Linked DNA regions of Ovis aries. The main gene of each other region encodes a partner of the protein of the gene in region 5 in a complex. Links are inferred from orthologs where the notes say so. Each region holds a gene or a part of one and is shown on either strand. Other genes may lie near its edges. The genes, in order: POLR1H, GTF2F1, GTF2F2, ERCC3, POLR2L, TAF1B and POLR1C.

Region 1 (4,010 bases), on a different chromosome or scaffold from region 5:
AATTAAACAATTTCTCAGCCTGACTGAGAAATACTCCCCAAAGGCATTTCTAACTATATTTTTAATCCATTGATGAGAAGGCAAGAAAGTAAAGGCAATCTTCACAGTGAGTGAAAGTATACAAAACCAGGAATCTAGACAGGTACATTAAAACTGAAGCCCCTGGTACACTGGTGCCCTTGCTGTTTTGAGAGCCACATGAGTGAACCAGAGACAAGCCTACAATGTCTGAGAGGAGATACTCAGAGTAAGTTTGAAACCTCCAAAGGGCTACACCTGTATAGAAGTGAACAAGAAAAATAATCCAACTCTGCAGAAGAGGAATTTGACAGTCTCACTAGGTAGAGAGAGAAAAAAATTTCCCTCTAGAATTTCTAACCAAAAGCTGGCCTTACATTAGATTCGCAGCACAAATCCATACTACCTATTTGCTACAAAACACATGAAGCTGAGAATTTATTTAAAGTCATTCCAGCTTGGTAGTGCTTCAAGGCACCTGAAGAGGAAACACACATGCTAAGAATATAGTTTTCCAAATTCTAAAAAATCTGAGCTTATATTAAAAAATTATACAACAAAAAAAGCACGATGAGAAAGTCTGCAGGAATAACGGCAGCATCAGATCCACAAAAACTGTGGGTATGAGAATTAGGAGACACAATATAAATATCAGGCTTAATATATTTAAATATATGTAAGAATTACAAATAATATAGGATTAAAGAATCATGAATTATTAAAAATGAGACTTGAAAAATAAGCAGAACTCAAAAAAAAAAATTTTTTTAAGTAACAATAACTGACATAAACTGAAGACAGAATTAGTGAAGCGGAAGAAAGACCAGAAGAATTTACCCAGAAGCAATATAAAGAGAAAATAGATGGAAAATTATGAAAGGGTGAGAGAAATGGAGTAGTGGGTAAAGTCTAATAAGCAACTAATTAGAACTCCAGAATGTGAGAACATAGGTAAAGGCAATATTCAATGAGACATGGCAGATAATTTTCCAAGGTTGACGGAAAAGAAAAAAAAATCAATCTTTACTTTCAGAAAGCCCAGCAAATCCTACACATGATAAACAAAAGAAAGCCACATCCAGATACACTGTAGTGAAACCACAGAACCCCAAAGACAAAGGGGAGTTCTCAAAACTATTCAGAGAATCATGTTCTTTAAAGCACCCATGACTAATTCTCATCGAAGTAAAACTACCTTGAGTACAGTGGAAGATGCAACAGTAACACCCAGATCATCAAGCAACATTAGCTTTCTGTATTTTTTTTCTTTCCTTTTAAATATCTTAAAAGGTTTAATTCACCGAGTATAAAAAGGATAAGAAAAGTGTAATTTTCTAAAATAAAAAACGACCTCAAGTTTCCCTATTACTTCAACTGTACAGAAGAGAGGGATCGGACCAAAGAACACAACTGTTTATTCAGTACAAAAAGTAAGTCACTGGATTTGTTTAGGTCGCAAACAGATTGAGAAAGGGCAGAGAGGAGGAAAAGGATACGCACTTGCAGTTGGTACAGGTGTAGAAGACAGTCTGCCCTTCATCGGCTGATCGCATCTGCCTGGTGTGGTATGCCATTCCCTCGTGCCCACATCGAGAGCAGCGCCTGTCAACCTGGAAAGCAACTGGTGGGATTAATAATCTCCCTTTCCGGTCACAGACATCAGGCTGTCACACTCCCCAGACTCTGATGTTTTAAAGACCCCTCTTCCCTCTTAAAGGACTTCCCACGTGGCACAGTGGTAAAGAATCCGCCTGCCAATGCTGGAGACGCGGGTTCCATCCCTGGCTCGGGAAGATCCCGTGGAGGAGGAAATGGCAATCCGCTCCAGTATTCTTACCTGGAAAATTCCATGGACAGAGGAGCCTGGCAGGCTACAGTCCACGGGGTCACAAAGAGTCAGACACGACTCAGCACAGCACACACCCTTCCCTCTTGGAATTAGGTACAAAACTCTCCAGATCTGTGCAATCGCCCCTCCATTTCTTTCCCACCCTCCTTTGATGGGGCCAGTCCTGGATGTCATTCACTCACCACAGGTCCCTGGAACTCAGGTCCTTCCTCCATCGACAAAGGCATGGCTGTCCCCAGTTTGTTAAACACAACTGAGGTTTTCACAACCTTCCCCTCAAAGTCTGCGCAAACAGTAAGAACTGGTTGTGGAGACAGTAAGGAGTGCTGACACCCATAACTCCCTCTCGGTTAGGACAGGAGGCCTTATATTCTTCCCTTCAGGTTTCGACCCAAGGCCAAAAGTGCCTGATTTCCTGCTTCAGGGTCCCCCTCTTCAATCCAACCGATATTAAGGTCCTCAAGCCACTGACCCTTTCACGCTGGGCCCTCTGCCGGGGTCGCTGCGTACAAGCCCCTTACCTCGCACATTGATGGAGAAGCCACAGCGGGTACAGGCGACCGCATCCTGAGCCCCGGGCAGAGGCAGGACCGAGCCGCAATCTGGACAGAAATCCAGGTCCGACTGAAAGCTGGAGCAGATGCCGGCGAGGTCCATGACGGAGGGTGGTCGAGGACTGGGAAGAAGAGGAGATTGCTAACAAACGAGAGTAGCTCCCTCCCCACTGAAGGGTCATTCCTATTCTGTCCCTGGACCTAAGCATACAGAACCCGAGTCCTTCTCCCACGTATGCCTGTGCCTCTAAGACCAAGGAGCCCACATATCCAGAATTCCAAACCGGGGTCCGGTACTTCGACTTGGGGGTTTGCTTACCTGGGACAGGCGAGAAGAGGAAGCCAACTCCGCGAGCTAGAACGCCGGCTCTACGCCGCTGCGGACTAGCGAGAGCAAGCGGGCTAGAGCGCCCTGTCGTCCGGCCTGTCGATTGGCTGTTACGTCATAATTAATCGCAAACTTGATCCCCGGAGGGAGCGGAACCTTTGAAGGAAGGTTGTAGCGCTACTTTCAGGCTGGATTTGTGATGTTGGATAAGAAAGCAGGTGATTGAAGCTGAGCCTCCGGTTGTTTTCCCCTCACTACCCAGTTCTGGGAACTACAACTTCCCCTGTTCCTGAGTTGGTTCTTTTTTTTTTTTTATTTTTATTTTTTTTCTTTTTGAGTTGGTTCTTTTAAAAAAAACAAAAACCAAAGCGAAACATTCTGGAAGTTACAGTTCTAGCGCTCCTCGGACCTCGCGATGCAAGCAAGGGCGCTCTGCAGAGCACCGCCTGGCTCGAGTGCTGGGCCCTTGGCGACGAAGAATTGATGCTTTTGAACCGTGGTATTGGAGAAGACTCTTGAGAGTTCCTTGGACAGCAAGGACATCAAAGCAGTCAAGCCTAAAGGAAATCAGTCCTGGATATTCACTGGAAGGACTGATGCTGAAGCTGAAACTCCAATACTCTGGCCATCTGATGCGAAGAACTGACTTATTTGAAAAGACCCTGATGCTGGGAAAGATTGAAGGCAGGAGGTGAAGGGGAGGACAGAGGATGAGATGGTTAGATGGCATCACCCACTCGATGGACGTGAGTTTGAGCAAGCTCCGGGAGTTGGTGATGGACAGGGAGGCCTGGCATGCTGCAGTACATGGGGTCGCAAAGAGTCGGACGCGACTGAACTAAACTGGGCCTTTGGAAGGGGTGAGTCGACCTCTTACCGGGCATGAAGTGGAAACGGTGAAGGCGGAGGAGGAATCCTAGTCACTAGGAACGAAAGGAAGCAGGGATGAAGTAGGACACTTTAGGAAGGGGCTCAAGACTTTGGAGGTAGTGGAACAGAAGAGATTGGGACTCCTTCCTCTTTAGATGCCCGTCAGATGAGGGAGGTTAGCATTAGTCAAGGGAGCAGCCTTGTGACGAAGACTGTCGAGGTTTGCTTTCAGTTGCAGACCCCTTTCCACCTTGTCCCCGGCCTCCCATCCAACCAGCTCTACATCATCATTGCATCCATTAGATGGAGAGTTGACATATCCCTGATCTTTTATAAAACATGAGGACAAGTGTCTTAAAAGTTTTGCTGTTTTAATTCATCTGGAACCTAC
Region 2 (3,962 bases), on a different chromosome or scaffold from region 5:
GACCCCCACCCCTGCTGGAAGTCCATACTGCAGTCCCTTCAGGTTGCAGCTCACCCTTCAGCTAATCTCTGTCTAAAGAGCCTCCCACCCCATTGTTCCCAGTCTCAAAACCCTAATTCCCCACCACCCCACAAAAAGAATTCCATTTCCTCCAGTAATGGTCACTATCAGTAATGAGTCTGCCCGTTTACTTGTTCTTGTTTGTCTCCCCAGTCAGACTATGTACTACAAGAACACAGAATCTGTTTGTCTTCCTTGTCCCTGTATTTCTAGTACTTGGCATAGTTTCTGACATAATCGTAGCAAGTGAGGAGTAGATAAATGTCCATAACTATCAGAAACATCTATGGAGACCTGTAGTTTATAGTGCTGGCTTCCTACATTCCCCACGGACTTCCCAGAATCCAGCGCAGCAGGTGCTAAAAGTGAAAGTCAGTCAGTCAGTCAGTCAGGCGTGTCCGACTCTTTGTGACCCATGGAATTCTCCAGGCCAGAATACTGGAGTGGGTAGCCTTTCACTTCTCCAGGGGACCTTTCCAACCCAAGGATCAAACCCAGGTCTCCCGCATTGCAGGTGGATTCCTTACCAGCTGAGCCACAAGGGAAGCCCAGCAGGTGCTAACATGGATCACTGAATACCTGACCCTGAGCATGCGAAGTTGTGTTACAATAAGGTAGGGGGCCGGGAGGAAGGGCGTGTGCACACCTGGACTTGAGGAGGGGTTACCTGCATTCTCCCGCCCTCCATAACCTCCTTCCCTTCTCCCGAGTAAACCAGCCACCCCCGCGATGTTTCCCTTCTTCTGGGGCCTCAGGGGCCTGCCTATTTGGGGCAGTTTGGACTTGCACAAACCCAACCCGCCTGAGGCCCGTGGGGTGAGCGCACTCCATCCCCTACACAGGCCCTGACCTCTCCTAGTTCGGTTCAACGTCACAAGGGCCCCTGGCCCGATTATTTGGCGAGATGATAGGGCTACCCCCGGGGGCTGTGGGGAGAAATGAACCCCAAAGAGGCTCAGGTAGAGCCGCAGCAGTCGGCTGCCAAGGAGGCCTCGGTTGCTGTGGTAACGCGACCTCCCCGGACTCACTTCCGCAGTAAAGTAGCGCATGCGCAAATGGCCCGACAGGCCGCGAGGGTGGCGGGTTTCCTCCCTTCCTTCCCAAGATACCCCGCGGTCCTGAGATGTAATGTCACTGGGGGCGTCTTCACGTCACCTGTTTGGGTTATCCGCGTGATGAGGTTATCGGCCTGATGGGATTATCGTGCTATACAAACTGCGGGCCGCCAGAGCGCTAGATACAGAAGGCGCTACCTTCAGTTGGGAGTAGGTTGCTTCCCCTAGGCCTGCGGGAGGATTTCGATTCCGGTTTAGGCGGCTGCGCAGGCGCAGACTTGGCACAGGCGGTCTCAAGCCAATCGCCGACCCAGTGCCGCCTCCGGATAGCTTTCCCCAGGATCGGTTGTATCCCGGGCCGGAGACCGGACACCTCGAGGGCGGCCTCCGAGGGACGCGCACCCGGAGGGAGGCGTAAAGAAAGGTTCTGATCAGACCCGGGTCAATCGCCCATCGCCCATGGCGGCCCTCGTAAGTGTGCGGCCAGGCGGTTCGGCTGCGGTCCCGGTGGCCTCTGTAGCCTCTCACTCACTGTCCTGCTTTCTCTCCCCTCAGGGCCCCAGCAGCCAGAATGTCACTGAGTATGTCGTCCGAGTTCCCAAGTAAGTCCCTGACCCTACCAACCCCCTTTCCCTCCAGAAAAGGATTAAAATCTCGAGGTTCCAGGAGTGTCTGATTCTTCTTCCAGGGCTGGGGTTGAGCCGAGGCCTCTGGGGCATCACTGTTTTTTTAACAGAGTGAATGAATAAGTACATTAATATACAGTAACACGCAGCCTGCCTGCCTAGGATTCCCTCAGCCAGGAATGGCAACAGTGACTCTACTGGGTGGATTCTTTTTGATCCTGCGAAATTCCGTTACAGTATTTTCCTCCTTCAGGAGGCAGTCCCTGCCTGTCCACCCCGCTGCCCAGGGCTGAGTTCCCAATTATCCCATCTTGAGTTCCCAGAAATATTTGTCCTTAACTGATCTCTGGGGTTTTTTTCATGGGTCCCCAGCGTTGCCCAGCACAAAGAACTGAGCCTGGGAGGGTTTGCTGAATTAATGAATGATTAACTGAGCACTGCCTCTTTTTGCCCATACCAGAAATACCACCAAAAAATACAATATCATGGCTTTCAATGCAGCCGATAAAGTCAACCTCACTACTTGGAATCAGGTAAGTCCGAGTTCTGAGGCTGTGAGAAAACCTGACCCTGGATTTGATGTAATAGTTGCTTGGTTGTGATAGTAACTAAGGCTTAGGATCCTCCCCTCTCCCCACGTGCAGATAAATGATAACTAAGGCCCAGGCTGAGCCTCTGGGCACCCCTGAGGACAAGATATGTGTGGCCTTGCAGGAGGCTTTCTTCTGAAATTTGTGCCCACTGATGGGCATTCTGGGTCGAGATCTATCTGGGCAAGAGAGGAGGGGGCTGCCTCCTAGAGGTGACTCAGAGCCCCTATTGTTGGAGACTCCAGAGCGGTCTTTAGAAACTGTTTTAGTTGCAGGCTGCTCTAGCAGAATTCCAGAGACTGGGTGGTTTGTAAACAACAGACATTTATTTCCCACAGTTCTGGAGGCTGGAAGTCCAAGATCAGGGCGCCAGCAGATCTGGTGTCCTGGTTCATAGCTGGTGCCTTTGCACTGTACTCTCACCTGGGTACACAGCACTCTGGAATCCTTTGTTAAAGAGGGCACTTATCTCACTCCTAATAGGCTGCAGCCTCACAACCTAATCATCATCTATCAGAGGCCCCGCCCCCAAATACCATCACACCGGAAATTAGGTTATATGCATTTGGGGAGAATTCCCTGTAGATACAGCGGTTAGGACTCCAGCTAGGACTCTAGCCCATTCACTGCTGGGGGCCTAGGTTCCATCCCTGGTGGGGGAACTAAGATTCCAGAAGTCCGAGATCACAGCCAAAAAGAATGCATTTTGGAGGCATGCAAACATTCATCCATAGCAGAGGCTATTAAAGGGTTACAAACAGTCTGTAAAGAGATTTGTCCACTGTGGGGTCGAGGGCAAGTGAAGGGAGAACAGGGCGGAGGTGAAGGCTCTGGACCAGGTGAGCCTGTGATGGGGTTTGCAGCAAACAGGTTACGAGAAGTTATTGGACTCTGGGGTGTCTTTTTTTCTTTTTTTCTTTTTTAATTTTTCATTTGGAAATAACTTCAAACTTTCAAAAAGCTGCAAAAACAGACATCGCAGCGGGCTTTAGACAGATCCCTTCGCCCACATTCACAGAGCCTCTTTTCGCCAAGCGGGAAGTTGGCTCAGAGGGTCCACCGCTCAGCCTGCGGGGAGGAAGGGGTGTTGTTGGATGGGGAGCAGGCTGCCTGATGAGAAGTCTCGCCTTCCGTCTCCCAGGCCCGGCTGGAACGAGACCTGAGCAACAAGAAGATTTACCAAGAGGAGGAGATGCCGGAGTCGGGCGCCGGCAGCGAGTTCAACCGCAAGCTCCGGGAGGAGGCGCGGAGGAAGAAGTACGGCATTGTCCTCAAGGAGTTCCGGCCGGAGGACCAGCCCTGGCTGCTGCGGGTCAACGGTAAATCAGGCCGAAAGTAAGTGCCCCTTCCCGCCACTCCCCGGTACCCTTGGCCGAACTTCTAGGTCCTGCAGCTGGGGGTGACAGCTCATCCACCCATGAAGGGGTTTTCTTGGGGAAGATGAGCCAAGGGGTTGCTCGAGTGTGTGCTAGGGATGCAGGAATCCCGGCCTGCCGTCCTCCTGCGCCCAGCCAAGGACTGCCCAGAGCTGAGGGTTGAGAACCATGGGGGAGACAGAGATTAAGGGAAATGAAGGGCACTCTGGTTGAACAGCGAGCACGAAGGCGTGAAACATCGAGCCCCAGGGACTG
Region 3 (3,962 bases), on a different chromosome or scaffold from region 5:
ACTAGAGTTAAAACTGGAGAAGGCAATGGCACCCCACTCCAGTACTCTTGCCTGAAAAATCCCATGGACGGGGGAGCCTGGTGGGCTGCAGTCCATGGGGTCTCAAACAGTCGGACATGACTGAGCGACTTCACTTTCACTTTTCACTTTCATGCATTAGAGAAGGAAATGGCAACCCACTCCAGTGTTCTTGTCTGGAGAATCCCTGGGACGGGGGAGCCTGGTGGGCTGCCGTCTATGGGGTCACGAAGAGTCGGACATGACTGAAGTGACTTAGCAGCAGCAGCAGCAGTGTTAAAACATTCCCACTTCACAACGTGATGATGTCAGTATACGGTCCCAATCCGCTACTCCAGGCATGATGTCCTCTTTGTTTTCCAGCCCACACCACATTACTGTGCATTCTCACTCCTGCATTTCAGAACCACTCTCCATGGTATGCTACGGAGATACTATGGCCCCCCATCCAAACCTCTGTAAGGCAAACATTTATTGAGCATCTACTGCGCTCCAAGCAGAAACACATCACCTCAAGCTCTCGCCACCTTTTCAAGCTCTTTCCATCTGCAAAGGAGATCTCCTCCCTAATGATCTCTCTCCATCTAGCATGCAGGAGGAGAGAGATACTTGGTTACTCCATCATTTTAAATCACACTGATATCACTGTGATAAGTCAAAGCAGCACCAGAGATTAAGGCTAGGGTTGAAGAATAAGAGTTCATTCAGTCATTCATTCATGCATGCATACATCACATTATCTGAGCTATTTACCTTACACCAAACACAGTTCTGGGTGACAGGCAAGACGCCTACTCTCGCGAAATATGACTGTGCATGTGCTTTGAAGAATGTTAATACAGGCTCAACATGCTAGTGAATAATCATAAGGGCAGGAGCAGGGGACTACAGAAGATGAGATGGTTGGATGGCATCACCGACTCAATGAACATGAGTTTGAGTAAGCTCCGGGAATCGGTGATGGACAAAGAAGCCTGGTGTGCTGCAGTTCATGGGGTCGCAGAGTCAGACACAACTGAGCGACCGAACTGAATCATAAGGGAGCTACATCAGAGAGGAAGACTAGAAGGGCCTCTCAGATTTAACTGATAAACACTCAGACGTGTGATAAAAGCTTTCCAAAAATCTAACAAATAAAGGTCTCTATGTTTTACTTGAGTTTTCAAGACTATCATAATCACATTTTGAATATACACATGTCTTATGAAAACTTCCTAAGAAACAACAGTCCCCAATTTGAAAAAGTAAGGGATAAATAGTGTACTCACTAAGTGAAGAAGTGAAGGTTGCTCAGTGTCTGACTCTTTGCGACCCCATGGACTATACAGTCCATGGAATTCTCTAGGCCAGAATACCGGAGTGGGTAGCCTTTCCCTCCTCCAGGGGATCTTCCCAACCCAGGGATCGAACCTAGGTCTCCCACATTGCAAGTGGATTCCTTACCAGCTGAGCCACAAGGGAAGCTCAGTAAGTACTTACTAAGGGTTAATCAAAATGCTGCCTTTACCAAAAAAAAAAAAAATTACTGACAGTTTCACCTGAGACACAATCGAACTCTAAAAGAACACTCCAGTCCACAGTCTCTCCTTCCCTGAGTTCAGAGCACTCTCACCTCTCCTGGGAACTCCATAAGACCCATCAACCTAAAAGAACACCTTACGAGTGAAAGTGAAGTCACTTAGTCCTGTCCAACTCTTTGGGACCCCATGGACTGTAACTTATCAGGCTCCTTCAAAAGGGATTTTCCAGGCAAGGATACTGAAGTGGGCTGCCATTCCCTTCTCCAGGGGATCTTCCCCACCCAGGGATCGAACCTGGGTCTCCTGAATTGCAGGCAGATGCTTTACCATCTGAGCCACCAGGGTACTCAGAGAACAGTTCTACTTTCTGGCTCAGAAAACTACCCAGAAAGCAAACGCTCAACTTTCTTATAGAGATTGATGACTGAAATCAGTTTCAGCAAGTGGAGATGAAGAAATTCTTCAGCCTGGGATAAAATGCTCAAACTGGGGGGCCATCAAGACAGGAGCCCAGAAAAACCAGGTCGTGGGATAAGGAGATCCATTCCAGGCACGTTCAGACTCTTAGTTGGCTAAAACACACTGGGTGTCCCTGAACTAATGTCCTCGTCTGCAAACAAGCCTACCAACCAACCCTGCCTCTCAAGGTAAGCGAAGTTCTAAACGAGAGAGCCCTAATGAGTTTTAAAAGGTGCACAAAGTGGGACGGTCTCAAGTTACGTGTGTGTGTGTGCGTGTGTGTGCGCGCGCGTGTATGTTAGTTGCTCAGTCGTGTCCGACTCTTTATAACCCCATAGACTGCAGCCCACCAGGCCCCTCTGTCCATGGGGTTCTCCAGGCAAGAACACCGCAGTGGGTTGCCACTTCCTTCTCCCAAAGGAACTATAGAAAGAAAGTGAAGTCGCTCAGTCGTATCCGACCCTTTGAGACCCCATGGACTGTAGCCCACCAGGCTCCTCCGTCCATGGAATTTCCCAGGCAAGAGTACTGGAGTGGGTTGCCAGTTCCTTCTCCCCTCAAGTCACTTAAACTACTTTAAAAGCGAGAGCCACGCAAACCTTACCTTGACCAGCCACACTCCGGTGTTCTGTTTGGCGCCAGTCAGGTCGAGTTCTCCGCGCTCGGCCATGGGTCTGTCGCCGGCGGAGACCTGCGGACTTAGAGCAGCGGCCCCGGGAGCGGGTGACTGCGGGACGAGGGAGCGAAGCACACGGCGAACCCTGGCCGGAGGTTGACTGTGAAGAGCCCGCGGTCCAACTTCCGGGATGCCGGGAGCCCTGGGAAAGAAGAACACACACGGCCGGCAGCGGGGAACTGCGCCTGCGCACTGCGGCCGTCAGTACGGCGCGCTACTGAGGACAAACTTCATCGGCGTGCACCTTCTTGAGTGGGCGTGGCTACTTCCAGGGACTGTGTCTGAGTAATTGAAAACGAGGTTGGGATGGGCGCAAACATCAGCAGTACATATAAAGACCAGGTCAGAGTAACAGAAGAAAGTGTCAAAACAGAAAAACGGGGTTTAAAGAGACAAAGGCTGTCAGTGTATGTCCAATCCAGGCCAAGGAGAGAAAGACAGCATTTGGAGGACAGGTAGGAGAAATGAATAAAATGAATTAGCAGAGTGGTCTTTATTGAAAGGCTACCCTGAGCACCTTCAGTTAAACGAGTAGGGCGCACCCCTTTAAGACTCCAAAACCCAGAGCCCTTTGTTTTTTGTTTGCTATTGTTTTTAATTTATTTTTAATTGGAGTATAAGCGCTTTACAATGTTATGTTAGTTTCTGCTCTACGACAACATGAATCAGCTGTAAGTGTACATAAGTCCCCTCCGTCTTGAGCCCCCCTCCAACCCCACCTCTATCCCACCCCTCTAGGTTGTCAGAGAACCCCGACCTGAGCTCCCTGTGCGCTACAGCAACTACCCACGAGCTATTAATCGCTTTTTACACATGGTGGTGTATACATGTCAGTGGTACGCTGGCAGTCTGTCGCGCCCTCTCCTTTCCCGGCTGTGTCCGCAAGTTTGGAGCCGTTTCATGACGTCAATGACAATAGACATGTAACAGAAAACTCTGATTGTTCAACTCCCCTGCTTAAAGAGTCTCCCCTCTCTCTTCTTGCCTCTAGAATAAAATTCAGTCCTCTCCACATAGGCCCTCACAGTTTGACCTCATCAAAGTGTGGTGTACTCAATGCACCACGCATCTAAGCCCATCTAACCCGTCAGACCTCCCGGAACGTATCAGAATGTTCCTCAATTATTCAGAGCCTCTGCACACTGGATTCCCTTTACTCAGATGCCCTATTCTTCCCGTACTGCCTTCTGATTGGCAGACACCTACTTAGGTTTCAAGATTAATGGAAATGTCTCTTCCTATGAGACCTTCTATCAACTCCCCCAGAGGAAGATAATTTTTTCTTCCCG
Region 4 (3,500 bases), on a different chromosome or scaffold from region 5:
TATGCACCTTGTTTAAATCGTAAAAAGCAACATCTGTCAAAACAAACAATGAGTAAGAGACACTTCTACTATTGCTGTTTTAAAGATGGGAAAACTAAATCTAAGGTGTAACTGGCCCGAGACCCTGGGACAGCAGTGCTGCTAGGGTATACTGTACCCAACACATGGACTCCCTTCGGAGGGACTGAGTAAAAGATGGCTACTATGGTCACACATAAACTGGGCTGAGCACTCAGCAACATGGTCGTGTGAACAGTGCTACTGGCAAAGACACAGGAAGGTGAAACTCCAGGGGCTTCTGAGTTTACCACCGTCCACCATTAATGAAGATCAAGATTAAAAATCAAGCTGTTCCTTTAAAAAGCAATTCTTCCTTAACCAGGGATGTGCTTCAAAGTAACCCATGCAGCTTAAAAAGAAAGAAGGTGCAGGCCCCTTCCTGAGACAGTTCACCTTCTAGAGTCTGGGGCAAGGCTCCAGCTGAGTGTACTACGATTTCCGGCCAAGAACCTAGGCTAGGCCCGACATGACTCAGGACAGATGCAGAGACAGCAGCCCACCCATCTCCTTCACTCAGTCACTCACCACAAGGAAGGACAATGACCCCGGAGCGCGCGCGCCCATTCCCAAACATCTTCCGCAAACTCTTCTCCTGGTAAGGTCTAAGGACAGCTGTGGGCTTCAGGTCAATGTTGATATCAGGGTTGACAGAATCATTCCGAAAGTCGTATTCTGCCAACAGAGGGTACTCCAGGTGGATGCAACGTTTCTGGAGTTCTTCAATCATTTCCTGGAAAGTGAGCATGAAGGTTTCATAATCTTGTTAACTCCAAAGCGTGCTCAGAAGCAACACATATCCTAAGACACCTAACAATAAAAATCAAGTTTACCTAGACTTTTGCAATTTCAGATCTTGCTTGATAACAACTGGGTTTAAAGCATAGAAAAGGACCCCAAACTAAGGCAATGAACAAAATTAAATCCAATCAGCTACCAAAACACCCCAGAGACACCATTTCTCACTGATCCACCAGCAGGAAGAATGGGCACTCAGATACAACTCCATCAGGAAGAATGATGAAACAGCACACTGGAGACAGATAGGGGTTCCTTCTTCTCACACAAAGTATGGACAGTCCAGGCAGGGCCAGACCAGCTTCTGATATCAGCTTAGAGAAGCAACCAGGAGTTATGTTCACTAACCTGCTTGACTTCAAAAGATACTGTCTGTGTCTCTTCTTCCTCCTCCTCATCCTTGTCCATTTGCTCATAAAAATCAAACAGGTCTGTGGGGATGTCAGATTTACCCTGTGGATCTGTCACTCGGGAAGTGGAGGGCCCACCGCTACCTTCAGCGCTCTTAGCAATCTGGAAGAGAAAGGCAGGATGTGGACTTGCACAGAACATTTAACCCTACTGCTACCAAGCACAGTCAAAGCTGCAAGAAAGCGGCAGGACTACTAGGCTATAAATGCTGGACTAAAAGCACCTGAGGGCTACAATCCTGAATGTGTCCAACCCCTGAGGGTGACCCAGGAGCCCACATACAGCAGATTTGCTTGTGAAAGTCTCGGTGATGAGCTCGGTGGCCTCCCCCTCAGAGTTCCTCAGGCGGCACTCCCGGATCACGGCATCCTGGAGAAGATGCTGGATGACGTCAGGATGAGAGCTTTCAACGAAGTACCTGTAAAAGGGGAGGAAGCAGAAGCCTGCTGGCCGGGACAGGATTTGCGGAAGGGTCCACTTAGCATTCTTCGGATGGTCTGGGGACGGCGGCCTCTGGCCCCTCTGCACAGTCACCCTGCCCCATCCCTTTGCCGAAGCTGAGTGATGAGCTACTGGTCATGAGAGCGCACAGAAGGGCTGCGGGCAAAGCCCCACTTTGAAGACACATTAGCAGGGATCGGAGCCCCAGCTCCACTGCCAGGGGAATACAGTGGTCAGGGAGTGAACAGTTCTGGCCACACAGCTTCCCTCATTCCCTTTAGCCCCTTACTCTGGGGAGCAGTTGTTAGTGCAGAGCACAGCCCACAAACGTTAGCTTCCTGCCACTGACAGGCAGAGGGTGGAAACGCCTTGGTGGGCCTGTCACAGAGTCCCTTACCTGTTGTGCTTCAGGACCAGCTTGACTTTCCCATAGCTGACAGTACACAACTGCAGGGAGGGACAACACCAGACAGGTAAAATCAGCCACATGCAGCTCACTCAGAACAAGTCATTACCGGACGCATTTTACTACCTTTCAACTAAGTGAAGGGTTCATTTTACTTTAGGAACATCCAATGTGCAATCCTAAAGGGGTAGATCTGTCTAAATAGAGCTTTTTCTATTAGCTTCCACTTTTTTTTAGCTTTACCTGTTTTTATTTTTAACTTATTTTTAATTAAAAAACAACTGCTTTACAATATTGTGTTGGTTTTTGCCATACAACAAAAAGAATCAGCCATAGGCATACATATTGAAAAGCAGAGACATTACTTTGCCAGCAAAGGTCCATCTAGTCAAGGCTATGGTTTTTCCAGTGGTCATGTATGGATGCGAGAGTGGGACTGTGAAGAAAGCTGAGCGCCGAAGGATCGATGCTTTTGAACTGTGGTGTTGGAGAAGACTCTCGAGAGTCCCTTGGACTGCAAGGAGATCCAACCAGTCCATTCTAAAGGAGATCAGCCCTGCGATTTCTTTGGAAGGAATGATGCTAAAGCTGAAACTCCAGTACTTTGGCCACCTCATGCAAATAGTTGACTCACTGGAAAAGACTCTGATGCTGGGAGAGATTGGGGGCAGGAGGAGAAGGGGACGACGGAGGATGAGATGACTGGATGGCATCACCGACTCGATAGATGTGAGTTTGGGTGAACTCCGAGAGTTGGTGATGGACAGGGAGGCCTGGCGTGCTGCAATTCATGGGGTCACAAAGAGTCGGACATGACTGAGCGACTGAACTGAACTGAACTGAATACATATGTTTAAATATTTCTACTAATAAGGATGACTAGAAATTAATGAACTAAGTATCTAACTCAAGCTACAGGTTAAAAAACAGCACTACCCACAAAAACCCGAAAGAAACAGAAGGACAAAAATTAAAGATAAAAGTGTAAAAATGATTTTGAAGAAAACAAACTAACAGTAAAACTACTTCAAGTAAAATAAATCCAATAGAAATAATTTTTTTTCATTGAAAATAGCAGGAATTCCCTGGTGGTCCAGTGGTTAGAACTGGAGGCTCTCACTGCAGAGGGCCCACGGTTAAAGTCCTGGTCAGGGAACTAAGATCCCACATGCCCATGATGCAGGGGTGGGGTGGGGAAGTGAAAACAGCTTAAACCAGTAGTTGACATAGTCGAGAAAAGTTAAGAATAAAATACAGAGCCACTACAGAAAGTGGTGAGTGGAGACAGACTGTTTACTGCACACCTTTTGGTGCCCTTGTCTGCATGCTGAGTCCATTTCAGTCACATCTGACTCTCTGTGTAGCTTCTACTTTTTGAGAGCAAAAC
Region 5 (3,484 bases):
GCCCCTTGACTTACAGTCAGAGTCCACCACCCACCCCAGGTGGACTCTGAGCTAAAGCCTGGGACCCAACATGGTGGGCCCACCCCCACCCCCCACCCCAACCAGAGACCCTGACGCCCCAGGCCAGCAAATATGAGGAGACCCTGCCTAGGTGCCTAGCCCACCCTCCTCAGCCCAAAGCTCGCCTCCTCCAGGGAGCCTTCCTTGCTTCTCAGTGCACACAGCCCTCTCCCAGCCGCCAGTCACAGGATCAGGGGGCTCACCTCTCGCCACTTCCCGAGACACAGCCCCCGCCCCCGCCCCCCCCCCGCTCCCTTTAAACCCCCACCGCCTCCAGCTCCCACAGCTTCTGTCCCGCACGGACGGGTGTCTGTCCGGCTCCCTCTTTAAGTCTCAGCTCAAAAGACACCCCGAGTGCCCTCCCGACCCTCAGAGCCGGCGCTCCCGGGTCACTGGCGCCCGCCCCTGCCGAGCGCGGACTGGAGCCTGGGCCGCCAGCGCCTCCCCCGGGAAGAAGGCAGGAGGGGGGGCCAAGCTGACCGCGGCGACGGCCGGAGCCCCCACCGGCTGGGTCGCCCCGCGCCGCCCGCCTGCAGGGATACGGGCAGCTACCGGGCCGGGACCGTTACTGTGCAGGCGACCCGGCCAGGCGGCGACCTCGAGGGTCCCTCGGACTCTGCGCAGAGACCCCCGAGTGCCCGCGGGCAGCGGCCCCAGGCGGAGAGGCCGCCCCCTGCCCGGCCCCTCCGGCCGCTCTCCGCGCCCCAGACCCGGCTCGCAACTTGTTGCTGAAACGCGGCTCGCGCTCTGCGCTCGGGGCCCCAGTTCGCGCGGGCCCGGCCGCACTCCGCCCGCGGCCCGGCAGGGGCGCTGTACCTGCCTCGCGCCCGCCGCGCGGAGTCGGTCGGCCGGGCACGAGGAACGCGAACGCCGCCGCCGAGCCCTTGCGGCCCCGCGCGGACGCCGTAGGCCGGGACGTACCAAGGCGCGGGCGGGGGGCTCCCGCCGGGCCCCGCCCCCGGCCCCGGCCCCCGGGCCCCGGCCCCCGGGCCCGCGCCCGCCGGAGGAGCCGCCGTCGCGGCGGGAGGCGGATGCCGGCGGCGCCGGGGCCGCGGGGAGGTGCACGGGGCGGGCCGGGCCGGCACCCCCGCGCCATGGGCGCGCCATGGGCACGCCGGGGCGGAAGCGCCGGGGGATCCGGGCGTCGGGCCGCCGGGCCGCGAAGCTTCTAGCTCCCGCGCCGCCGCCATGATCATCCCCGTTCGCTGCTTCACGTGTGGCAAGATCGTCGGCAACAAGTGGGAGGCCTACCTGGGCCTGCTGCAGGCCGAGTACACCGAGGGGTGAGGGGCGCGCTCCCGGCCGCCGGCCTGCGGGGCCCGGGGCGGGGAGGGTTTCCCAGCCTGCGCGGCCCGGGGCGAGGACAGGGGCGCCCGGCCTAAGGGGAGGGTTTCCCAGCCTGCGGGGCCCGGGGCGGCGGGACGGGGGCCCGGCCTGCGGGGCCCGGGGCGAGGACAGGGGCGCCCGGCCTAAGGGGAGGGTTTCCCAGCCTGCGGGGCTCGGAGCGAGGACACGGGGGCCCCGGCCTGCGGGGCCCGGGGCAGGGTCAAGGGGGCCTAGCCTGCGGCGTCGGCGTCTCGGGCGGCTGTCGAGGATCCAGGCTTGAGGGGTTGGGGTCTTGAGGCGGCAGTCAGGGGTCTTGGTCTCCAGGTCAGGAGCAAGGGACGTTCATCAGATCCCAGGTGACGCCGGCAAGGCTTTTATTCCCGGAGCCTTTGCCAGCCCTGTTCTCCAGACCTGCTCTCAGGAAAGCGTCTCCCACCCCCCAGTTCAGGCAGACGAGGGGAGCTAGTTGTCAAGCGCTGGTGTCTGGGGACTCGAGTATTCTGGCTCCACGCCTCCACCGCAGATAGGCCCCTGGCCACCTCTGTCCGTCAGCTCCCTAAGTTCTCCCTGCTATTAGGCCCACCCCGTGTCCTCAAAGACACTGATGCTGGGCAAGATGGAAGGCGAAAGGAGAAAGGAGCGGCAGAGGAGGACGCGGTTAGGTAGCATCAGCAGCTCAATGGACAGGAGTTCAAGCAAACTCTGGGAGATAGAGGAGAACATGAGCTCAGCGAGCTGCAGTCCATGGCGTCACGGACACGACCGAGCGGCTGAACAACAAACCGTGTCTTGCAGACTCACGGGCTTTTTTAGTACATAGGACAAGCTTCTGATCACATAGCCGTCATCATCAGGCTTTTGTGGGGTCCCTTTTCCGTGTTTGCCCCTTGGCACTGCAGTTACCGCCTTACTTGTCTGAGTTTACCCTAGACAAGAGTCTGACTTTGGTCCTTGTGTGGACAGCCCCATCCTTATCAAAGTGTGAACCTCTGGGACCTGGAGTGTGGTAGCAGGTGAGGTTCTCCGTGTAGCTGTGTTGGGTGGATAGGGAAGCAACGGACGGCCGTAGTATCTGCACCAGGCTTCGAGGAGGCTGCTGGAATGACCACAGTGCGAGTGAATGCTGGCAGCCTGCCCCAGACTCCTCCCCGAGATGCCCCAGGCCAGGGCTGCCCAAGCGGCCGCCCCTTTTATGGGTGCCACGCTGGTGCCCACACACAGGAGGCTTTGAGGGTGACTGGGGCCGTGTCTCTGGGAGGTGAGGGGGGCTGCTCCCCCCGGGCGAGGCCCTCTGTCTGCCGGGAGGAGCAGGCTGCAGCCAGATCTCTCCCCACCTGCAGGGACGCCCTGGACGCGCTGGGCCTGAAGCGCTACTGCTGCCGCCGCATGCTGCTTGCCCACGTGGACCTGATCGAGAAGCTGCTCAACTACGCTCCCCTGGAGAAGTGAGCCCGCGATGCCGCAGGGGGCGTCTCACCCATGGCTTGTTCCCCTGGGGTGTGGGGCGCCGGAAGCCACGCCCGCCCACGGCTCTGTTGGCGTGGGTCTTCCTCCCTGGAAAGAACTGTCTAGTAAATGTTTCTGAGGACTGCCAGGAAGTCCTAACAGTTGGTCTGGGTTTGTGGGCTGCCCCGCCGGTTCCTGGGGTTCTACCTGGTGCCCGAGGCCCGCACGGCCCAGGAGGAGGGTGGGCCTTCCATACGGGAGTGCTCAGCACGGGGCTCCCTTCCTCTGTGGGCGCTTGGCCCCACAGAAGACACAGATGTCACGAGTGCTTGGGGTGGGGGCACCGGCGTCCCACAGCGCTGTTCTGGGTGCCCTTCAGCCGAGAACAGAGGTCCCCACTTCCTCCCCCGGTATCTAATGCTCCAGACTTTCTGCGCTCTGAGTGGAGTGCTCCCTGTGGTCACAGCTGCGCATCCTGAGGTTGCTGCCGCCAGAAGCTTCCAGGCTCCACCCACAGCAGGCAGGCAGCTCCACTCCACCCCTGAGACCCCACAGCAGGTGGGAGGTGCCCTGAGGCAGCTCTCCTGGGCATCTGTTCTGAATGGGCTCTCAGTGCCCAGGCGTTAAATGCGTTGCCCTGAAAACCAACTAG
Region 6 (3,500 bases), on a different chromosome or scaffold from region 5:
ATATAACTGCTTTGATGGATGGGGGTGGGGTGGTAAAGCATCCAGATGACAACTGAGCTGAATCTTGAAATGCCAGGTAAAGTAAGCAGGTGTTCCAAGCAAAAAGAGTAACATCTGTGAAACAGTTTTTAATAGTACAATGGTAGAAACTCCTTTAAACTTCTATTTAGAAACTTAACCACAATTTTCTTTATGTTTCAACTGGTCAAATAAGAAATCAAAATTAATTTCAATGCCTACATCACTGACCCTTTCCTTCTAGACTATAAATGAAACCTCTTCAATGGAACTCTTCTGAAAACCATAATTCAGGTAAGGTTGAACTTCATCTTCATTTCTATCTCTCACCAGATATGTCTTTTGGTCCCACTTGTCAGACACGTGACTTACCGTAGTTTTCCTTCTGCTGGTATGAACTGGGTTTTTACAATATGCCTGCTTGCTCTTCTGAAGGTAGCGCTTCCAAAAATTATGCAAAACTTCATTCTAATGTGGAAGAGAAACAAGAATGCTTCAGGTTATGATGAAAATATACTGGCACATCCAGACCACAGAACCTCTATTCTCTTGTACTTCACATACTGCTTCCATCTAAATGTATTCTTACCTTTCTTACTTAATTTCCTTGAAAGAATTATCATTTCAGTATCAGGTATATGAGAAGCACTGAATATAGTCTTCCTAATCTTAGATTTTAGGCAAGGAAGGAAAAAGTTCCTTAAAATCACCTAGTTGAATCCCTTCTTTTTACAAGTTAAATAAATTAAGATCCAGAGAAAGAAAGTCACTTACATGTGACTACACTTCTAGTTAGGAGCAAAGTTGCTACTGCATTTAGTGACCTACTGACACCCCCTTCCTCCTCCCACCCTCTGTCCAAGTGAAAATAAAACAAAACAAAGCAGCTTTTCCATTTATTCATCACCTACTGGGCACAAGGCATCCATAAGCTTTAACACAATCCTGCAAAACAGTTATTAGCTCATATTTTACCACTGAAGACACTGAGTAACATGGCCAAAATGACCCATAAATAGGATCTAGAGTCAGCTCTGACTCTGGAGACTGGGTTATCATAAAACCATTCCTGCAGCATTTAGCTGGTCAGGTCTAAACAGTCATACTTATCAGTTTATTTTAGAGAAACTGTTTTTAGGATAATCTCGCTGAAGTAGGTATCAGCAGAAAGCTATACAGGTGTAAACCCTACTGAAGCTATTTGGTGGAACTACCTGAAACCATTTATTAAAAACTCTCATACATCGGATACCTATGTCAGGAGAAACCAGATTCACAAACCTGCAGGCTACCAGCAATCTTAACCTAAGCAATGACTGTCAAGGTTAAGGCTCACCACTTGGGCTATGCACTGGCCTACGAGTGACTCTGCCTGCCTGCTGCAGACATTCATTGCTTTGAATAGGAAAGGCTGCTTTACCAATCTTTTCTTGGTGACTTCAGTAGATGATCTTTCTTCCTTCACTTTTTGCTCTTGTTTTCATTTATGAGCATAGTGCTATATAATGTCCTATTCACTCATTCCACATACACATGGAAACTTCTCTCCAACTAAGCTGACTCCAGCAGCATCAGTGTTACCTGGAAACTTATTAGAAACGCAGATTCTTGGGCCCTACTCCGGACCTGCTTATCAGAAACTCTGGAATGGGGTCAAGCAATCTGTGTTTTAACAAGCCGTCCAAGTTGATTCTGATACACACTCAAGTTTGAAAACCACTGATTTAATGTACCACTGCACAAAGTGCATTTTCTGGAAGTCCTGATGGATGCTACTCCCCCCATCCCACCCACTCACATACACCAGAGGATTTTACCCTCAAATTGTGAATACTGCACATTGCATCCCCTAGGAAATGAAACAGCACATTAACACATAAAAGGCACCAATAAGTGGACAAAGTTATTTGTTTTACTTTAACCTAATGTTTCCTAATTATCTGAAGACTAAAACCTTTCTTACTTTCTTTTGGATGTACTGCTTATTTACACCCTAGAAAACACATTTTGGAGATTGCTGGTCTTGCAAAAGGATTAAAGAAAAATCATCAGAAAAATGATTGTTTCTAATAGGCCAAGTGCTATTACTGATAACCCTACTACTCTTAATTCCACTCTAAGTCTACTGTTCTTCAAACAACAAAATGAAAGGCTAACATCTGAACTCAAATGGACTTACCTTTAACTCTGGGCCTACTCCAAGGCTCTGTAAGGCTTCTGCTTGTTGATAAAGTATGTGCTGAAAACCTTCACACACATACCAATCCCAGCCTTTCTCTAAATGACAAATGACAGACTTCAGACATCTGAGTTTCTTATTTACTAAATGTAATGCTACTGCACAGTTACAATTGTGTTTCACACACTTCAACTGGAATTTTTTCATATCCCTGAGTAGAGTTTCCATTCTTATATTCTCGCTTCCAATCTGGCAAATCTGTACACAAATGCTAAAGTAAATTTAATTTTTCTGAAATATCAATATAAGGGCAGCAAAATGGTTAGTCACCACATTAAAAAAAGAAAACAAGTTTTATAAATGTACTGAACAGTGCCCAGCAGAAGCCTAAATGAAAGGATACTCAACACTCAGCCACTGTTTCTCCTCCGACTCCTCTGTTCCACCTCAAACAGAAAGGGAACAATGAGTATTTGGAGAATGAACCAAAGCAAAGAAGGGAAGCTCCAAGATGGCAGGAAAGGGCATACAACAAGAACACACAAAGAAAATGAACTGCTCACCAGCTTTCTCTTTTCATCAGGAAGGTTCCAGGTACGAGTGTGAAACCGAAAGCAAGGAAACTAAGATTTATTGAACTCGGTCCAGTCACCATGTATTTTAAGGTTATTTTCTTGCAACCTCAAAACAGTCTTAAGAGATTCTGAAGGAATGGACAAAGCTACATGTTTAAATAAAACTACCAGTTAAAAGAAAATGCTCAAATCTGTTAAGACTCATGTTTTACCCCTCCCAGGTTGACAAATACTGCAACTCTGAAAAAATAAGCTTCTGAAGTCTGCTGCTATGACTCCAAGATGCCCTCTTCCCCACAGAAAGTCACAGGGTTCCTGTGCCCCTCCCTAACCTCAGTATCACAAGGTCTCCCCACCTCTGCTGCCTAACTCACTTTCTGAAAAGGGTTTTAGTTTGCATAGGAGACTGCAGCCATGAAATTAAAAGATGCTTACTCCTTGGAAGAAAAGTTATGACCAACCTAGATAGCATATTCAAAAGCAGAGACATTACTTTGCCGACTAAGGTCCGGCTAGTCAAGGCTATGGTTTTTCCAGTGGTCATGTATGGATGTGAGAGTTGGACTGTGAAGAAGGCTGAGCGCCGAAGAATTGATGCTTTTGAACTGTGGTGTTAGAGAAGACTCTTGAGAGTCCCTTGGACTGCAAGGAGATACAACCAGTCCATTCTGAAGGAGATCAACCCTGGGATTTCTTTGGAAGGAATGATGCTAAAGCTGAAGCTCCAG
Region 7 (4,261 bases), on a different chromosome or scaffold from region 5:
TTCTATACAACCTGGTGTTTCACTCCAAGGGAAAATTAAAGGGGGGAAAGCTCTTAGTGTGGTGGCTTTAGGAGACAGATGCACAAGAGAAGCTGTTATAACCACCCATCCTCCCAATAATAAATAGACCGTCCCTAATCAAATAAGTCAAGTGGGCCTTAAGAAGCATTACTATGAGCAAGGCTAGTGGAGGTGATGGAATTCCAGTTGAACTATTTAAAAGCCTAAAAGATGATGCTGTTAAAGTACAGCACTCAATATGCCAGCAAATTTGGAAAAACTAAGCAGTGACCACAAGACTGGAAAAGGTCAGTTTTCATTCCAATCCCAAAGAAAGGCAATGCCAAACAATGTCCAAACTACTGCACAACTGCAGTCGTTTCACATGCCAGCAAAATTATGCTCAAAATTCCCCAAGCTAGGCTTCAATGGTATGTGAACCAAGAACTTCCAGATGTTCAAGCTGGATTTAGAAAAGGCAGAGGAACTAGAGGCCAAATTGCCAACATCCTCTGGATCATAGAAAAAGCAAGAGAAGTCCAGAAAAACATTTACTTCTGCTTCAATGAGTAAGCTAAAGCCTTTGACTGTGTGGATCACAACTGTGGAAAATTAAAGAGATGAGAATACCAGACCACATTGCCTGCCTCCTGAAAAACCTGTATGCAGATCCAGAAGCAACAGTCAGAACTGGAGATGGAACAATGGACTGGTTCAAAATTGGGGAAGGAGGACGTCAAGGCTGTGTATTGTCACCCTGCTTATTTAACTTATATGCAGAGTACTAGATGAAGCACAAGCTGCAGTCAAGATTGCTGGGAGAAATATCAATAACCTCAGATACGTAGGTGACACGATCCTAACGGCAGAAACCGAAGAGGAACTAAACAGCCTCTTGATGAAAGTGAAAGAGAAGAGTGAAAAAGCTGGCTTAAAACTCAACATTCAAAAAACTAAGATCATGGCATCTGAACCATCATTTCATGACAGACAAACGGGGAAAAAATGGTAACAGTGACAGACTTCATTTTCTTGGGCTCCAAAGTTACTGCAGACGGTGACTGCAGCCTTGAAAGACACTTGCTCCTTGGAAGAAAAGCTATGACAAAGCTAGACAGCACATTAAAAAGCAGAGACATCACTTTGCTGACAAAGGTCCATATAGTCACAGCTATGGTTTTTCCAGTAGCCGTGCATGGATGTGAGAGAAAGCTGAGTGCCAAAGAATTGATGCCTTCGAATTGTGGTGCTGGAGAAGACTCTTGAGAGTTCCTTAGACAACAAGGAAGATCAAATGATCAAACCAGTCAATCCTAGAAGAAATAAACCCTGAACATTCATTGAAGGACTGAGGCTGAAGCTGAAGCTCCAATACTTTGGCCACGCAATGCCAAGAGCTGACTCACTGCAAACGAGTGATGCTGGGAAAGATTGAGGGCAAGAGGAGAAGTGGGTGACAGAGGATGAGATGGTTGGATGGTATCACTGACTCAATGGACATGAGTTTGAGCAAACTCCAGGAGATACTGAACGACAGGGAAGCTTGTCGTGCTGCATTCCCTGGGGTCACAAAGTCAGACCCAACTGAGCAACTGAAGAACAACAACAAAGAAACCTGCACCCATTCAAGGAATTAAAATAATGGAGTGGGGCTAGAAAGACCCTCAGGTGGTCTCCTCACTCGTGTGGACACTCGTATTCTTCTGTGAGTGCCTGCTTTCCCTTCTCCTTAATAAATTGCTTCTTTGTTCTCTCTACACCTCAGTTTCTCTGTGTGACATTTTTTTGCACTTTGGACAGGTAGAATAAGAACCTGGACCTTTACTTTAGCATGTCCCACATCACAAGTATGGCAGGAGACAGACGGGCTCCAGCTGAGGAATTTCCTATCAGCCTCCTGTTTGCCCTCCAGAAACGAAGAGAGAACAGAAACAGAGTCAACAGTCTTTGTCTCTAGTAAATATCTTGAAGAAATAATTATAGCAAGAACAAAGCAAGGCGAAATCCCTCGTCTGAGTAAGGATTAAGGGATCTCCGCTTCCCCCTTTTTAGGATAAGGAAGATACATCACAAGTGCAGAAAGGCTACTTGGGGTCAAAAGTCAGAGGATAATTCAGGCCATAACGAGTCTTGCTCTTCCCAGAAGCCTTCACTTCCAGATCCATCTTGGCTAAGAGGTGAGTGTGCATCCCATGGGAGGGTCCTGCCCGTGTGCCTTTCTACATGTACTTCTCTTTTCAATCAACTTCGTACTTTACTCTGTACCTTCTGCCTCCTCGCCTGAATTCGTTCTTGACTAGGCAGACAAGGACTAGGGACTCTAGCCCTAACTGCTGGCTCCTGTGGTCGTAGTTAGGACTACCGGTGGGGGAAGCTACAACCCCGCTTCCAGCTACCGCCCTCTGCCCCTTGCTGCAAGCTGCCCTTTTCTGCTGCGCCTTGGAAATTACAAGGACAGCTTCTAAGGCACAGGTTGCTCATATCACAAAGTCCGATCCCACAGTTCCAGCTCCACCTACCTTCTCAAAGCGGTCCTGGTCCCAGGCATCATCGTAGCCGCAATAGTTACCGGGAAAGTCAGTGGTATGAACCTAGAGCAAAGAGAGACGAGAATGTCTGCGAAGGGGCAGCGAGGCCAAGCCCGTCCCCACTCTGACGCCAACTCATCCCTGATTCACTCTGCTCCCGAGCTGAAGGCCACAAGACTTACATTGCGAACCCCAAACTCCCCTAGAACCACGCGGGTCCTCATTTCCTCCACAGCCTGGGCCGCCGCCATCTTCAACTCCTCCACGTGACCAGAGTACCTAACTGATGCGTGCGCACTAGTCGTCCGCCTCCGTTTCTGTAGCAACGCACCTCCTAGAATCTTAAATATCGCGAGACTGTGCCTTGCCTCCGTCCACGTCCCCAGCTACCGGAAGTTGGTTTGAGCCAAACATCCGGGTTTCTCCTTTTTTTGCATTCCGACCCATAGTACCTTTCTTTCTTGTCCCTAGACCTGTCCCTTTCTCAGGCCCGCATCTCTCCCACTCCTCCTCCGCGCGCGGGACAAGCACGGGCTTCAGCGACGGGAGCCCTCGAGGGACATGGCAACTCCGGCGGCGCCGGCTGGCGGCGCCCGAAACGGGACCGGCCCGGAATGGGGAGGGTTCGAAGAAAACATCCAGGTAATGGCCCCACGGCTCCGGCTGCCCGCAGCCCCTGGGCCGGCAGCCGCCCTGAACTCTCCCTCAGAGCCTGGAAGTCTGGTCCATTTGCAACACTTTTTATCTTCTTTTGAGTCTTCGTGCACAAGAAAGGCAGTGGGGCTAGTGCTGGTCTTAAAGCTCCAGACTGGTACTCCAGCCAGGGGCCTTAGGTATCTGGGCCCAATTGCTCTTGCTTTCCACAAGTTTAGGAAAGTCAGTCGGAGACAGGCATGGCGGGAGTGGGCTTGGGGGTGGATGGGATTCACTAGCCAAAACCACACTTGGTGCGCATAGCCTTGTTTTGGGGTTGGGAGAGATGAAGGAAATGGGCACTTTGCAGCCCTTTGGGGCCTTGGTAGGGAAGGTAGGAAAAAGCCGTGTATGGAAGACAGGGACTAGGTTCCCCAGACTAGAACAGAGCACCAAACAAGCAGGGGTTCTGAGACCAAATGAGGAGAAGAGAGTGGCGTCATCTGTGGCGATTTCAAGTCCCCTAGCCCCAAACCTTGTGGTGAACGGAGAAGGACTCAACTGGACGAAGCAGAAAGGTCCTGCACTCTAGGGTCTGTTGTCTTCACAGGGTGGGGGCTCAGCAGTGATTGACATGGAGAACATGGATGATACCTCAGGCTCCAGCTTCGAGGACATGGGTGAGCTGCATCAGCGCCTGCGTGAGGAAGAAGTGGATGCTGATGCAGCTGCTGCTGAAGAAGAGGATGGGGAGTTCCTGGGGATGAAGGGCTTTAAGGGACAGCTGAGCCGGCAGGTGGCTGATCAGGTAAGCACAGTTGGCTCCCTGACAGGTGGAAAAGTATACCGAGGAGACCTCTGGTTCTGGAGTTGGTGAAGTCCACCCCAGGTTGTCCAGTTCACACCATTTTGAAATCAGATAAAAAATAAGTAACATAGAGCCAAGAGTTTGACAGCACCCTTTCACCCCACCCATCTTCCTTGCTATAGATGTGGCAGGCAGGGAAGAGACAAGCCTCCAGAGCCTTCAGCTTGTATGCCAACATCGACATCCTGAGACCCTACTTTGATGTGGAGCCAGCCCAGGTGCGAAGCAGGTG

What was found.
Region 1: POLR2L (region 5) and POLR1H share a complex: the UniProt entries of both Homo sapiens proteins name them as parts of the pol I pre-initiation complex. The link is inferred for Ovis aries from reciprocal best matches to the Homo sapiens genes POLR2L and POLR1H.
Region 2: POLR2L (region 5) and GTF2F1 share a complex: the UniProt entries of both Homo sapiens proteins name them as parts of the TBP-based Pol II pre-initiation complex. The link is inferred for Ovis aries from reciprocal best matches to the Homo sapiens genes POLR2L and GTF2F1.
Region 3: POLR2L (region 5) and GTF2F2 share a complex: the UniProt entries of both Homo sapiens proteins name them as parts of the TBP-based Pol II pre-initiation complex. The link is inferred for Ovis aries from reciprocal best matches to the Homo sapiens genes POLR2L and GTF2F2.
Region 4: POLR2L (region 5) and ERCC3 share a complex: the UniProt entries of both Homo sapiens proteins name them as parts of the TBP-based Pol II pre-initiation complex. The link is inferred for Ovis aries from reciprocal best matches to the Homo sapiens genes POLR2L and ERCC3.
Region 6: POLR2L (region 5) and TAF1B share a complex: the UniProt entries of both Homo sapiens proteins name them as parts of the pol I pre-initiation complex. The link is inferred for Ovis aries from reciprocal best matches to the Homo sapiens genes POLR2L and TAF1B.
Region 7: POLR2L (region 5) and POLR1C share a complex: the UniProt entries of both Homo sapiens proteins name them as parts of the pol I pre-initiation complex. The link is inferred for Ovis aries from reciprocal best matches to the Homo sapiens genes POLR2L and POLR1C.

Annotation. Positions count from the first base shown.
Region 1 is NC_056073.1:27,951,223-27,955,232, forward strand, and holds the start of POLR1H (DNA-directed RNA polymerase I subunit RPA12), read right to left. Parts: upstream 2,801-4,010; 5' UTR 2,741-2,800; intron 2,544-2,740; 5' UTR 2,525-2,543; coding exon 2,389-2,524; intron 2,151-2,388; coding exon 2,050-2,150; intron 1,629-2,049; coding exon 1,467-1,628; 3' UTR 1-1,466. UniProt on the Homo sapiens protein: Core component of RNA polymerase I (Pol I), a DNA-dependent RNA polymerase which synthesizes ribosomal RNA precursors using the four ribonucleoside triphosphates as substrates. Can mediate Pol I proofreading of the nascent RNA transcript.
Region 2 is NC_056058.1:15,923,959-15,927,920, forward strand, and holds the start of GTF2F1 (general transcription factor IIF subunit 1), read left to right. Parts: upstream 1-1,162; 5' UTR 1,163-1,574; coding exon 1,575-1,586; intron 1,587-1,670; coding exon 1,671-1,717; intron 1,718-2,201; coding exon 2,202-2,274; intron 2,275-3,472; coding exon 3,473-3,666; intron 3,667-3,962. UniProt on the Homo sapiens protein: TFIIF is a general transcription initiation factor that binds to RNA polymerase II and helps to recruit it to the initiation complex in collaboration with TFIIB. It promotes transcription elongation.
Region 3 is NC_056063.1:15,657,311-15,661,272, reverse strand, and holds the start of GTF2F2 (general transcription factor IIF subunit 2), read right to left. Parts: upstream 2,801-3,962; 5' UTR 2,668-2,800; coding exon 2,602-2,667; intron 1-2,601. UniProt on the Homo sapiens protein: TFIIF is a general transcription initiation factor that binds to RNA polymerase II and helps to recruit it to the initiation complex in collaboration with TFIIB.
Region 4 is NC_056055.1:118,229,820-118,233,319, reverse strand, and holds part of ERCC3 (general transcription and DNA repair factor IIH helicase subunit XPB), read right to left. Parts: intron 2,155-3,500; coding exon 2,105-2,154; intron 1,685-2,104; coding exon 1,549-1,684; intron 1,369-1,548; coding exon 1,204-1,368; intron 791-1,203; coding exon 586-790; intron 1-585. UniProt on the Homo sapiens protein: ATP-dependent 3'-5' DNA helicase/translocase. Binds dsDNA rather than ssDNA, unzipping it in a translocase rather than classical helicase activity. Component of the general transcription and DNA repair factor IIH (TFIIH) core complex.
Region 5 is NC_056074.1:46,915,104-46,918,587, forward strand, and holds POLR2L (DNA-directed RNA polymerases I, II, and III subunit RPABC5), read left to right. Parts: upstream 1-1,214; 5' UTR 1,215-1,248; coding exon 1,249-1,343; intron 1,344-2,726; coding exon 2,727-2,835; 3' UTR 2,836-2,984; downstream 2,985-3,484. UniProt on the Homo sapiens protein: DNA-dependent RNA polymerase catalyzes the transcription of DNA into RNA using the four ribonucleoside triphosphates as substrates.
Region 6 is NC_056056.1:19,100,624-19,104,123, reverse strand, and holds part of TAF1B (TATA box-binding protein-associated factor RNA polymerase I subunit B), read right to left. Parts: intron 2,296-3,500; coding exon 2,198-2,295; intron 487-2,197; coding exon 391-486; intron 1-390. UniProt on the Homo sapiens protein: Component of RNA polymerase I core factor complex that acts as a GTF2B/TFIIB-like factor and plays a key role in multiple steps during transcription initiation such as pre-initiation complex (PIC) assembly and postpolymerase recruitment events in polymerase I (Pol I) transcription.
Region 7 is NC_056073.1:17,058,027-17,062,287, reverse strand, and holds the start of POLR1C (DNA-directed RNA polymerases I and III subunit RPAC1), read right to left. Parts: upstream 2,801-4,261; 5' UTR 2,780-2,800; coding exon 2,711-2,779; intron 2,592-2,710; coding exon 2,520-2,591; intron 1-2,519. Other genes in the region: protein YIPF3, read left to right, coding at 3,090-3,170, 3,772-3,969, 4,152-4,258. UniProt on the Homo sapiens protein: DNA-dependent RNA polymerase catalyzes the transcription of DNA into RNA using the four ribonucleoside triphosphates as substrates.